3 linked regions of the Macaca mulatta genome follow. The protein of the gene in region 3 interacts with the protein of the main gene of each other region in a pairwise test. Links are inferred from orthologs where the notes say so. Each region holds a gene or a part of one and is shown on either strand. Other genes may lie near its edges.

Region 1 (4,097 bases), on a different chromosome or scaffold from region 3:
CATTACGGATACTCTCTGCTTCTGTAACCTCCACCCTTCCACCAGGGGATGCTCCTATCTGCTCACCAGGCCGTGGTCATCAAAGGCCCCTGCACAGAAGTCCTGATACAGGTCAGGATCCAGAGGTAGGTCCTCATCTGAGAGTGGCTCAGGCGTGGCTGTAGCCTCAGGAGGCTCCTTGACTGCTGATGATGCCACTGCTCCCTCATCTTCACGGATGCGCCCTAACTTCTGTGATGGCTGTGGCTGCTGTTGGGTGGGCAGTGGCCGGCGGGGCCTTGGCAGGGACTCTGAGGGCGTCACTGGTGAGAGCTGCGGGGCAGAATCTCAGGACTGGCCCTGACCGCCCTGCCCGCATGCCCCGCCCCACCCTGGGGAGCTGGACTCACCGAGGAAGGGAAGTACTTGTACGATTCCTGTGCCGGCAGGAGGAAGGCCCAGGTCAGCCCCAGGTGGATGGAGGGCGGCCTTGCCCTAGCCCCACCCACCTGGCCTGGCCTTACCTCCCCAGACACACCTCCCCACTACCCCTTACTACCAGGAATGCTCGCCCCTGTCTTATCTGTACTGACGTGCATGACCAACTGGAAACACCTGACCCCACTCTGTCCACCCAGGGTTGGTGGGGGTTCTGCCAGCCCAGCATACCAGCTCATGCCCCATTCATTTGGACATGACAGGTCCCTTCCCACCTGTCTAGATACAGTCAGGCCCAATCCCACCTGGCTTAGCCATGCCTAGACTACACTAACCATGCATGGACCCACCAGCTCTCCCATACCTGACCCTACCCAGCTCTGTCCATGCTCACCCGGGCCCGCAGCTGGCACTGGCGCAGCCGGCACTTCTGCCGGATCTTGTTGGGGCCCCCAAACTTCTTCATGTCCCGACAGAAGTCACAGTGACCACAGTCCTCAGTGCGCCGACATGCCTCACACTCACCACACATGCGGGCTGACCGTTTGATCTGCTGCTGCTGCTGCTGGTGATGCTGGAGGAGGGGGCCCAGAACAGAAATTATGGACCCAGGCAGGGCTGAAACGGAACCACTTTACACATCTACTCACTTTATGCAGCCACTCACCTGGCTGGGTGTGGCCACCAAGGGCTGCGGCGAGGATTTGTGGGGCGAAGCAGAGCCCCGAGCAAGCATGGCCCCAACCCCTGTCCCTGACCCTGCCCGGCGCTGCAGGTCTGGATCGGGGACAGGCCTCTTGCGCCCTCCACCCTCATCCCGGGGCTCACTGCCGTCCCGCTCATTGCCATCCCGCTCCCGTGACTTCTTGTGCCGATAGCGAATCTCTAGTTTGGGGTCTTTCTCTGTGGGGCAGAGAGTAGGGCCAAAGTGAGTGAGCACTGGAGGGCCTGAACGGTCCCAAAACCTCTTTCTTCCTCTTCTCTCCCTTACTATCCCACCCACCTACTCTGCACCCCTGTCCAGGGCAGAGCTGCCTCTTCCCGTGGAATCTTCTATTACCACTCACAATGGAGACCCCATTCCAGCTCACCACAGACGTGTATCACTACTCCCCATGACCCCCCATTATGGCTCCTCCTCCTCCCTTGAAGCCCCACCTGCCTTCCCTGTCCATCCATGGCCCTCACCTCTGCACTCCCGGCAGTACCACTCCCGGATGGCCTTGGCCATCTTCTCAGTGATCCGGATGCAGTCCCCATGGAACCACTCATTGCAGTTGTCACACCCGCTGCGGAGGATGGGGCAGGCGGTGGAGATGTGAGGGGCGCGGCCCATCGGCCTCACCCCACCCTGCTAGTGTCTGCCCCGCCCACCTCTCCCGGGCTCACATCATGAAGCAGTTGATGTCCGGTTTGCGACAGATGCAGTAGATGGGCGCATTCTCTCCATTCTCCGACTTGCTGTCCTCCCCAGCATCTGGAGGTTCTGGGTCTGAACCATCTCCCTCCTGCGGGATACCCCCATTACGGATCCTTAAACAGCCCCCACCGTGGCGGCTTATCCCATTACAGCTCCACCATGGTCAGCAGGGATCCCCACTCTGCCTGCAGATTTCACATCGGGGCCCCCCAAAAACCTCTCCATCACAGTCCCCACTGACCTCCATCCCTTCCCCTGACATCCTATTACTTTGCTCCATACTTCCCATCACGCACCCACCGACACCCGCTCCCTGCGTCCACACTCGCTAATGGGCCATCGCGATCCTTCATCGTGGCGCCCTCACAGACCCCGCGTAATTCACTGCGGACTTCCCATCGCGGTCTCTACGCACCCCTCCCTGTTTACCTCATAGACCCACCTGGCACCCGCACCCACCCCCAGTCGCGGCTGTCCACGGATCCCCGGACACGAACTCCTCGTCACGGCTCACTACAGACCACCCAGTGTGACTCCTCACAATCCCCGATCACGGTTTCCCACGGAACTGCCACCCGGAGTCCCCACTAAACTTCTATTAAGGACTCCCCCACCGTGGCTCACCATAGAACTCCCAGATGGTTCATCATTCTGCCCACAGACTCCCGCCGTTCAGTCCACAGACTCCGGTTACGGCTCACCACAGACCCCTGAGTCGGCCGACAGACCCCACTGTTGCCAACCCCACCAACCTCCACCGCCGAACCCCTCCCTGAACCCGGTACTCACCATATCTCCGCTCCCGGCGCACTCCCTCGCGACCCCCGCCAGCAACCCGCGAACCTGCACAGACCACTCGGCGGCGTCCCAGGCGGTTGCAAAGGCGCCCACAACTACTTCCGCTTCTGGTCACGCCTCCCAGGCAGCGTACTCCTATTGCGCAAGCCCCGTGCGTCGTCTCCGCCGCAAACCAGTAGGTCGCTCGCCTAGAGCCCCCGAAGAACCCTCAGGCGCCGCCATCTTGATTATCGTATCCGTATGGTGGCCGAATCCACACGTTCGCCGGGAACATGGCAGCGCTCAATTGTGGCTTTCCCGAGGGCGTCGCCACCTTGTCAGTAGAGTCCGTACGGCGGCTGCTAGTACGGCCTGGACGTACAGGCAACATGGCTGCACCTACTGCGTGACTTCCTCATAGATGCCGTCATCTTGGAATCTGATTCCGTACGAGGGTCGAATTCGTACGTTCCTTGGCGACACATGGCGGCGACCTATTTGCGGATTCCTCAAGGGCGCCGCCATCTTGGTGGTTGATACCGTATATTGGCAGCTTGTCAGGCAGAGAGGTTCACAGGTAAAGCGGCCGCTCCCGAAACGCTACCTGGATCAAGTTGTATTCATTCCTCCATTCTGTCTCTTTCCCCTTCCACATGTATTGATGGGGTGTCGGCAGGCTGTGTGCCTTGCGGGGCGGAGGAAACCAGTTCCTCTGTCGTCTCCGACTTCACCTGCCACCACTCTTTCCGGCTCTCACTCCTCCCACTTGTCATTCTTCTGCCAGGCCTGGCACGGTTCGGCTTCTATTTATTTTATTTTTATTTAAAAACAATTGTTAAACTAATATCAAATCTTATTTTAGTTATATAAGCTGCACAATAAGCCTAAGCACAGTTTACATTGATTTATTGTTTAGCATTTAGAACATTTTCAAATATTATTCTAAATAAAGTTGCAACGAACATTCTTAAACATAGATCTGTATGCTCATACCTGATTATCTCTTGTGAAATGTGATATACAAAACGGTGTCACTCTGGTTAACAGCTGTAAAATGGAGCCTGGAAGCCATTCTTTCTAATTTTTATTTATTTATTTACTCATTTTTTGAGACGGAGTTTCGCTTTTGTTGCCCAGGCTGGAGTGCAATGGCGCGATCTCGGCTCACTACAACCTCTGCCTCCCGGATTCAACCTATTATCCTGCCTCAGCCTTCCGAGTAGCTGGGATTACAGGCTTGCGCTACCACGCCCGGCTAATTTTTTGTATTTTTAGTAAAGACGGGCTTTCACCGTGTTGGCCAGGATGGTCTGGATCTCCCGACTTAAGGTGATTCGCCAGCCTTGGCCCTCCAAAGTGCTGGGATTACAGGCGTGAACCACCGCGCCCGCTCCGCCTGGAAGCCATTCTAAGGACTCCTCGCAAACTTGCAAAAAGGAAAACAAACAAACCAAAACTAAAACACAATAGGAACTTGCCTGGA
Region 2 (3,982 bases), on a different chromosome or scaffold from region 3:
TGCACACACTCATGTGCGTGCATACACACACACACACAGACACACTTCCCCACACAGAGCTGCCTGGTCTAGTGGTAGAGATGGTGAGATTTGAACTCAGTGGATTAAATCCTATCTTCATTATTTCCTAAGCTGTGTAACATGTCTTTGGTTATTCAACCTCTGAAGACTTGTTAGAAGAATTTGGGGGTGTCTGGGTAACACTCAAAACCCTCCCACGTCTCCAGTATTGGCTGGTAAACGTTTAACACCTGGTTCTACAAAAAACAGACACAGAAACACACCAATGCCCTGATTTGTAACGTTTGTCAATTTCCTCAGTGTCAATGTTCTCAGCGCCGCCCATTTCCAGCCCCCAGCCTGAAAGATGTGAGGAGATTTCCGGGGTCGATCCCCTGAGTGTGTGCTGGCCACTTGCTTAGGTGACAGCCGGGTCCTGGCAGTGCCCCGAGGGGTCAGACCCCCGCTCTCCGGCCACTGCATGTGCTCTTCCCGCTTTGGGGACCGCTCAGTCCCCACCCCCTTCCTTACCCGCTTTGCAGCTTTGCTCAGACATCACCTGCTCCAAGAGGTCCTTTTCTGAAAGCCCCTCTAAAATTCCAGCCTTCCCTGATCCTCTGCACCCATCCCCGCTGTTTTTCTCCTTAGCACCAACCCCACCCTTCTCACTGGATCTTCTATTTATTTGCCCCATCGTCTGGGAGTGGGAGCACCGTGAGAACAGGGGTTGTCTATTCCGTTCAGTTCTGTGTCCCCAGAGCCTAAGGCAGGGCCTGGGATGTGCTGTGGGTATCACTGCATGTGCTGAGAGGGGAGAGGAATCCACATCCATGCCACACTTAGCCAATCCTGGCACAGTCCTCTACAAATGCAGGCTTTGATCACCAGGCTAGAGATCAGAAAGGGGACGGGTGTGAACCTGGGGCTGGAGAGCTCTGTGATCCACAGGCTCAGGGGCAAGTGGGAAGGTGTCCTGTTCCCTCTAGGAGCTGGCAAGGGCTACCAGCAGTGCTGCTGTGTCCTGGCCAAGCTTAGCTGCCCCTGAGCAGGCCCAGGAATGTGAACAGACAGACGCATAGGCTTTCCCGGCCTCCCGCCTCTGGGTGGGGCCTCCTGTACCCACACCCAGCGTGGGAACTGATGCCGGGTAGGCACCTATGAAAAATAGGCCACAGACCAGGAAGGGCCACACAGCTAGCCCTGCAGCCCAGCTCAGCCTCGGGGCCCCAGGGAGGACTCAGCCTGGAGCCGGCAGAGCCAGCTCACAGCACTGGGTGCAGAGCCCAGGCACAGGGCAGAGGAGCACTGGCTCCAGGACTGGCCCCGAGCTCCTCCCCCAGCCCCATTTCCTGAGGCTCAGCGGGTTCCCTCTCTGGCTACCATGTCCTGGCAAGGGAGGACCACTAGGGCCACCCACCACACCTCATAGGGCCCTACCAGGGTCCCACTGCATGTCCTGGGCCTGGACAGAGAGAGTAGCGTCTGAGATGCAGCCAAAGGGACCCCACCCCTAGGCCAGCCTGGCCCCCTCTGCCTGCCCACTCCTCTGAGGCAGTGTGGTTTCCAAAACCAGCACCTGTTGTCTGCAGGGAACCCTGAAACTCTGCAGGTCAGGAGAGGGTATGGCACGAGCCTCCTGCCTGGCGGGGGCATGTTGGCAACGGGGTCTGCACGGCCACGCCAGCTGCTGGACCTAGGAGTGCAGGGCAGGGGTCCTCTCCCCCAGACGCTCCTAGGGCCTGCACATAGCATCCAGCCTGCCTGACAGGGGTGCCGTGGGGGTTCCTCCTCCTGTTCCCTCAACCCAGCACCAGGCACATCTGAAAGGGGCTGGGCATCTACCCTGTGAAGACCCTTAGTCCTACGGGGGCCTGGGCGGGGGGATGGGCATGGGGGTTCTTCTGCTCCTTCCACGACGGAGAGGTGGCCTAGTGTGTGCTCGGGAGATGCCTCCTTGCTGCGTGGCCTTGGCAGGCTGGGAGGAGGCCCTGCGTGCACAGAGGGGTTGCTGTGGACAGGGCGGCGGTACCCAGCAGCAGCTTCCTGCGGGACACCCCGTCAGAAACAGGCCGCGGGTAGGTGGCCGGCTGGCTCACTGCGCACCTGAAGCCCCTTACTGTCAAGTGACACGACCAGCACGACCCCAGCCCCACTGCAGCGACAGAGACGCGTGCGCCGGTCCCCTGCGGGAGGAGGTCCCGGGAGGCCCCGCCCGCGGCCCGCCCCGCCCAGCTCGCTCCCGACTGACTCAGTCCTGCGTCGCGGTTTCGCTCTCCGCTCAGACTTTCGGCCCGATGAGCTCCCCAGGGCGGGGCAGTCAGCATCCGCTCCTCACCTAAGGGGGTCTGAATCCCCCCGGGCCGAGGGGAAGACCCTGAACTGCAAGGACACGCGGCACACACGCGCGGGCAGAGCCACGCTCCCAGACCCCAGCCACCGCGTGCGCCGCGCTCACCGTGCCCGGGATGTAGTGGAAGAGCTTGTTGGCGGCGGCGTCCCCGCTTCCAGCAGCCTCGGGGCCCAGCAGGCCAGCCGGCATCCGTGCGCCGTCCTCTCTGGGGACAAGGCAAGGGAGCTCGTGGCCCCGGAGCGGGTGGGGGAGCCCCGTGCCCAGGTGGCCACACCCACACCCCGCTCACCTGTTTCCCTTCAATGAGGGCTTTCTGGAGAAGGAGGCCCGGAGCCTCCTGGGGGCCTGAGGGACACAGTGGCTGTTCCCCATGGCCAGAGTCGTGCAGGTCGGCAAGTCTGGGTCCCTGTCCACAGCCTCCTGCCCCCGCCTCCCACAGGCAGGCGGGGCTCTGGGACGTCCCGCCCGTCACCCAGGGCTGGGCGGGGGTGGAGCCATTCTGGAAGAGGCCTCGCCCCTACCTGAGCCATCCAGGTCTCTGCCCTGGGCCCTCCACACCGAGGGGCCAGCCTTGGGGCGATCTCCCCTCTGGCCCAGACAAGGCCTCCAGTGTGCAAGGGGCACCCCACTTGCCTGTGCTCAGGCTTTGTGAAATCGGGGCCACCTTCCAGCACCCCCCCAACAATGTGCACACACATCCTGTTTCCATCTAAACCCTGGCCGGCCTGAGTCACCGGTGACTGCAGGGAGGGCTGAGGCAGGAATTCCAGCGTAGGAGACAGTGCCCAGAGCCACCCCAGCCTCCCCTCCTGCCTGGGCTCCCTCACCAGACCCATCAGGGTCCTCAAGGCTTAAGGGGACTCTGGAAGGCCACGTGCCACCTAGGCGGCCAGGACAGTCAGCATACGCAGGGGCAGTGCTGTCCTCCCCCGCCGCACCCCCAGAGCCCAAGACGTGGCGGGGACCTCAGCCTCAGGACCCAGCTCAGGCAAACCCCACCTACAGTGGGAGAGACTCCATGGCCCCCACCCTCCCTGGATGCACAGCTCTGCCTTGTAGCCCCCAGACACCGGTGCAGCATCTCAGGCCACCCGCCCACGCCCCTCACCCTGGACCCCCAGATAGGACCCAAAGTTGCGCAGCTGCCCCACAAGCCAGAGAGATGCTCAGCCTGGGAAGCCCCAGAAATGTGTTTATTGTTCAAGTTGGGATTGTATTGCTGTGTGGGGCCCGAGTGCACACGTGTGCACCCACTACAAGATCCAGGGAAGACGGCACAAAGCAGACGATGACAGGAAGGACACCTGCTCCCCACCCTTCCCGGGACCCCGCCGTGTACAAAATTCGAGCTGGGGTCTGCAGCTGCTTGGAAAGCCCCAGGGCCTCTGGCTCCGCGGCCTGCAGGGTCTGAGCAGGCAATGGCCCTGGGGCAGCGAGGCCCCGACCTGGTCACTCCCGGCTGCCCGCCATGCAGGCAGTGGAGGGGAGGACGGGCGGCCGCAGCACTGCTCACCCCTCAATAAATAAGATAAATAACTAAATAAATAAACAACTAAATATAGACACGAAGGAATGGACGCAGAGACGTGAACAGAAGATGCAAGATGTCCCTGGTGGGGGCCACGGCCCCCT
Region 3 (3,953 bases):
TTTAATTTAGATAAATATTAAATATAATTTGCCAGTCCTAACAATTAGAATTCAAAAATAATTTTGTTATGTGTGATAATATAATTATGGCAATTCTGTGTTTTTCTAAAGTCCTTATCAGTTAAAGATGCTAAACTAACTGTAAATGAAACGTCTTGATGTCTAAGATTTGCTTTAAAAACTCCAGGGGAAAAAAATAAATGTTAGAGGGGTAATAAAACAAGATTAGTAAAGTGTCAGTTCATTTTACTGTTCATTCTCCTTTGTGTATGTTTGAAAATTTCCGTAATAGGAAAACCAAAGCAAATAAAGAAATGAAACAGATTAGTAACACTCCACATAAGACCTACTGCAGCAGAAACACTGCATTTTAGAATATGAACAGTTTGTATCTTTAGAAGTGTTATAATTCAGGTAATGGTTGACAGAGTTACCGAAAGTTTTTCACATCCTCAGCTAAAAAACCTTTAGAATTATCTCCAAACTTCAGTCCGACAGGACACGCAAACATATGAAAGCAAAAAATGTCCAACATTCAAACAGTTTCCAATTATTCACACTGTGGCTCAAAGAAAGAAAAACTTAACAACTATCAACAGACCTCTGCTTCCAAAAAAATGTAATCAGCAATTTTTCTAGGAGGCAAAAGCAAAGGCCCCAGTCTATTAACTTGCACCATTGCAGGCATCCCTAGTTCCAGAATCCTTTACACCTGAGTGCCAAGACATTCCGCTCAGGTGTCACCCGCACCACTTTTACTTACTTCTTAGATTTTATAAGTTGGTTTCTAAAATGCTATGATCTTGGCCCACATATATTAGGGGAGAGGACATTTTTATCTTCTTCTGAAGGTTTATTTGGGACAAAATAAGCTTTAAAAAGACAGAAATGCATAAAGCCCAGATTTTACATATCCATTCCAAAAGAATACAATAAAGTCCCCAAAAGAAGTATACAAGGAGCATCGTTAGGATCTTCCATAATTATTTCAACATCATTAAAAAGGTTGAAACTCTGAATTCCAAAATTTTACTTTTGTTATGGAAAAGATATTTACTGGTTAATTCTACAAACATCGCTGCAGTGAGAACTACAAACAGCGGTCTACAATTTAAGAACTTGATGCGCCAGTCGCAGTGGCTCACGCCTGTAATCCCAGCACTTTGGGAGGCCGAGGCGGGCAGATCAGGAGGTCAGGAGTTCGACCCTAGCCTAACCAACATGGAGAAACCCCGTCTCTACTAAAAATACAAAAATTAGCCGGGCGTGGTGGCGCGCGCCTGTAATCGCAGCTACCCAGGAGGCTGAGGCAGGAGAATCGCTTGAACCTGGGAGGCGGAGGTTGCAGTGAGCCGAGATCGTGCCACTGCACTCCAGCCTGGGAGACAGAGCAAGACTCCGTCTCAAGGAAAAAAAAAAAAAAAGAACGTGATGGCTATAAAACAAAAAATACAGTAAGATGTTCTTTGAAGTTGAACAGCTTGAAAAATAAATAAAACTTTATTAGAAGTCGGCATCATCAAACAATACTTCAAGTTTACCCTTGAAAAGAACAGAACGAAGGAGAAAGGCTGTCCTCAGCTCCTTCTCTAAACCCGAAAAGCACTGAGGACAATCAACCCACTTTTAGTTTCTATTCAAATGATCTCTTTAAATCCTTTTGGAATTAAGCACCAAACTTGTAACTAGTAATTGTTCGTGCACAGCACGTAGAAATTTTAACATCAGCAGAATGCAGACAGTTGAACAATTAAGATTTTCCCATCTAAAGCCTGACATAATAGCAATTCATAACCACTGTGTGAAATCGGAAATCTAACACTGTACGTCTAAAGTCATATGCCAGTGTTGTCCAACAAAACTTTTACCAATAAGGTGTGTACACACACCCACACAAACGCATGCTAAGCTCTATTTTTTACTAATAAGGTGTACACGCGCACACTAAACTCTAGCCACAGATTCTCTAAGCGAGGAATGCAGGTCGGTCGGGACTAGTTCACACCTCGCGAACCTGCGGGGTGTGTTGGGGCGGGGTGGGGAAAGGATTCCAGGTGAAGCAGGAGATCAGCCGGAACAGCCAACTCCGCCCGCGGCCCTCAAAAGTAGGCGGCGCAGGGAGTCTCCGCCCCCTTCGCCACCGGCGACTCAAACCAAAACAGCTGGGTTTCTCTCCGCAGAGGCAAACCCCAGCGTCCTTCTCGGACGCGACCTACGTGTTTTCTCAGCTTACTGCGCCGGTAACACCCACAGGGACCTCAAAACAGTCATCCCAGAGTTGAGCCTTGGACACCAGAAGCTTTTCCTTCGGGGGTCGCCAGCGTCACTCGTCCCCAGCCAAAGGGCACCCGTCCCACACGCCTCCCCCAAATCGCGAAGACCTGTCCCGCGGGCCTCCCTCCGCGTGGGGCGGCCACCCGTTGCTATTCCAAAACTCTACGGCTGATCCGAGTCGCCCACACCCCCGTCACAATCGCAGTCCGGAAGGGAAGGTTTGTTCTCGGGAAGGAAAGCCTCGTCACCACTGAGACCTCTCCCGAGACCGGCCAGGCCCCTACAGTACAGGGGCAGAGGGGTGTAGCACGAGCCCTAAAAGAGATGCAGCTGGGGTCCGACCCGCACAAGGTGCTGGGGTGGACCGGGGAGGCGCCTTACCCAGTGGAAAGACTCCCGGACCAAGGGAGAAAGTTACACAGGCTTCCGATCCTGATCCGCCATCAGCCGCTGAACCTCTTCCGCCACCACCGCCTACCCCCAAAGACCGGCTACACCTACCCTCACAGCCGACAGTAGGCCTTGCGTCACTTCCGCCCACGGGGCGGTCTCTTCCGCCTCCTGGAGGGTTCGCCCCGCCGCTCCGCGACGACACGCCCCCAGCCTACTGCGCCGCGGGACGCGAAGCTGGACCCAGGCGTGCCTCCTCTCGCAGGCCGAATGGTTCTCTCCTTCGTTCGTCTTTGCCATTTTCGCTCAGCAAGTTAATCGCAGAAAAACAATGCGTCTGGATTTACATTCTGATTGTATGTTATTATTTTGACATACGAAATGGGGAAACACACCAGAGATTTAAGTAACTCAACCGCGATGTGGAAAGGGCAGCTCAGAGGTCCATGAACAGTACCGTGTCCCTGCCTGCGTCTCAGTCGGCCTAAACTAACCCACCGATTTTATAGATAAGGAAATAGCCAGAGAAGCAAGGGAGTTACCACACGGCTAGGGCTGCAAACACCTAAACTCCAGGATTGTCTCTCAACTCCTGGCCCAGTCCTGTGCTTTTTTGACTACGAAGTTTTGTTCACTGAAAGCTCCTAGGAGCCTTTCAGTTCTAATGCCGTCTGATTCTATTTGTTCTCGCTCCAGCAGAGAGGCCTCTTTTCTACCCGCATTTTTGTGAGTTACCGGCTTTTGTTAGCCATATCATTTTCCGTGTGTGAATTTTGTCCCGCGTTCTGTTATTTCTAAAATCACTTTTGCCTTTTGTATGTATTGCCTTCCTATATTAGACATTCAGTTTGAATCCTAACTTCACAGAAGCCAGTGTGTCCCATTCGAATTCATCATATTCGTCTGTTGCCATAAAACCCTGATAAAACTTGCAATAGCACCTGAAAGGTACGTAAATTAGATCGCGTTAAATGTTGAAGCACATTCTAAATACAGAACATTCAAAATTATCTTTCATATACTTTCATCTTTACTTCCAGTTATTTCAGAAGACATTAGCTTTGATAATACAGGTTCTCAGTATTTACAGACTGATTTCTTTCCTATGTATTGACATTTTTTAACTTGATCTTGTGCTGGGTAGTATACTTGATCATAGAATTTCAGAAGAACCTTAACAGGTCATTTAGTCCCAGTCTCCTTATTTTATGGATGAAGAAAACGGTGTGAATAATCAACTTAAGTTATCACTCGCGTTACTGGTAGCAGCCTTCTGGTAGTAGAAATAA

Evidence for each region.
Region 1: the proteins of TAX1BP1 (region 3) and CXXC1 interact in binary tests that used the Homo sapiens proteins (3 or more experiments, as listed by UniProt). The two-hybrid records come from large-scale screens. The link is inferred for Macaca mulatta from reciprocal best matches to the Homo sapiens genes TAX1BP1 and CXXC1.
Region 2: the proteins of TAX1BP1 (region 3) and PLEKHN1 interact in binary tests that used the Homo sapiens proteins (3 or more experiments, as listed by UniProt). The two-hybrid records come from large-scale screens. The link is inferred for Macaca mulatta from reciprocal best matches to the Homo sapiens genes TAX1BP1 and PLEKHN1.

Annotation. Positions count from the first base shown.
Region 1 is NC_133423.1:42,016,644-42,020,740, reverse strand, and holds the start of CXXC1 (CXXC-type zinc finger protein 1), read right to left. Parts: upstream 2,801-4,097; 5' UTR 2,630-2,800; coding exon 2,627-2,629; intron 2,548-2,626; exon of another isoform or gene 2,465-2,547; coding exon of another isoform or gene 2,462-2,464; intron 1,926-2,461; coding exon 1,807-1,925; intron 1,707-1,806; coding exon 1,606-1,706; intron 1,321-1,605; coding exon 1,085-1,320; intron 992-1,084; coding exon 812-991; intron 417-811; coding exon 390-416; intron 313-389; coding exon 67-312; intron 1-66. UniProt on the Homo sapiens protein: Transcriptional activator that exhibits a unique DNA binding specificity for CpG unmethylated motifs with a preference for CpGG.
Region 2 is NC_133406.1:239,720,841-239,724,822, forward strand, and holds the start of PLEKHN1 (pleckstrin homology domain-containing family N member 1), read right to left. Parts: upstream 2,801-3,982; 5' UTR 2,723-2,800; coding exon 2,640-2,722; intron 2,556-2,639; coding exon 2,456-2,555; intron 1-2,455. UniProt on the Homo sapiens protein: Controls the stability of the leptin mRNA harboring an AU-rich element (ARE) in its 3' UTR, in cooperation with the RNA stabilizer ELAVL1.
Region 3 is NC_133408.1:100,601,378-100,605,330, forward strand, and holds the start of TAX1BP1 (tax1-binding protein 1), read right to left. Parts: upstream 2,801-3,953; 5' UTR 2,656-2,800; intron 1-2,655.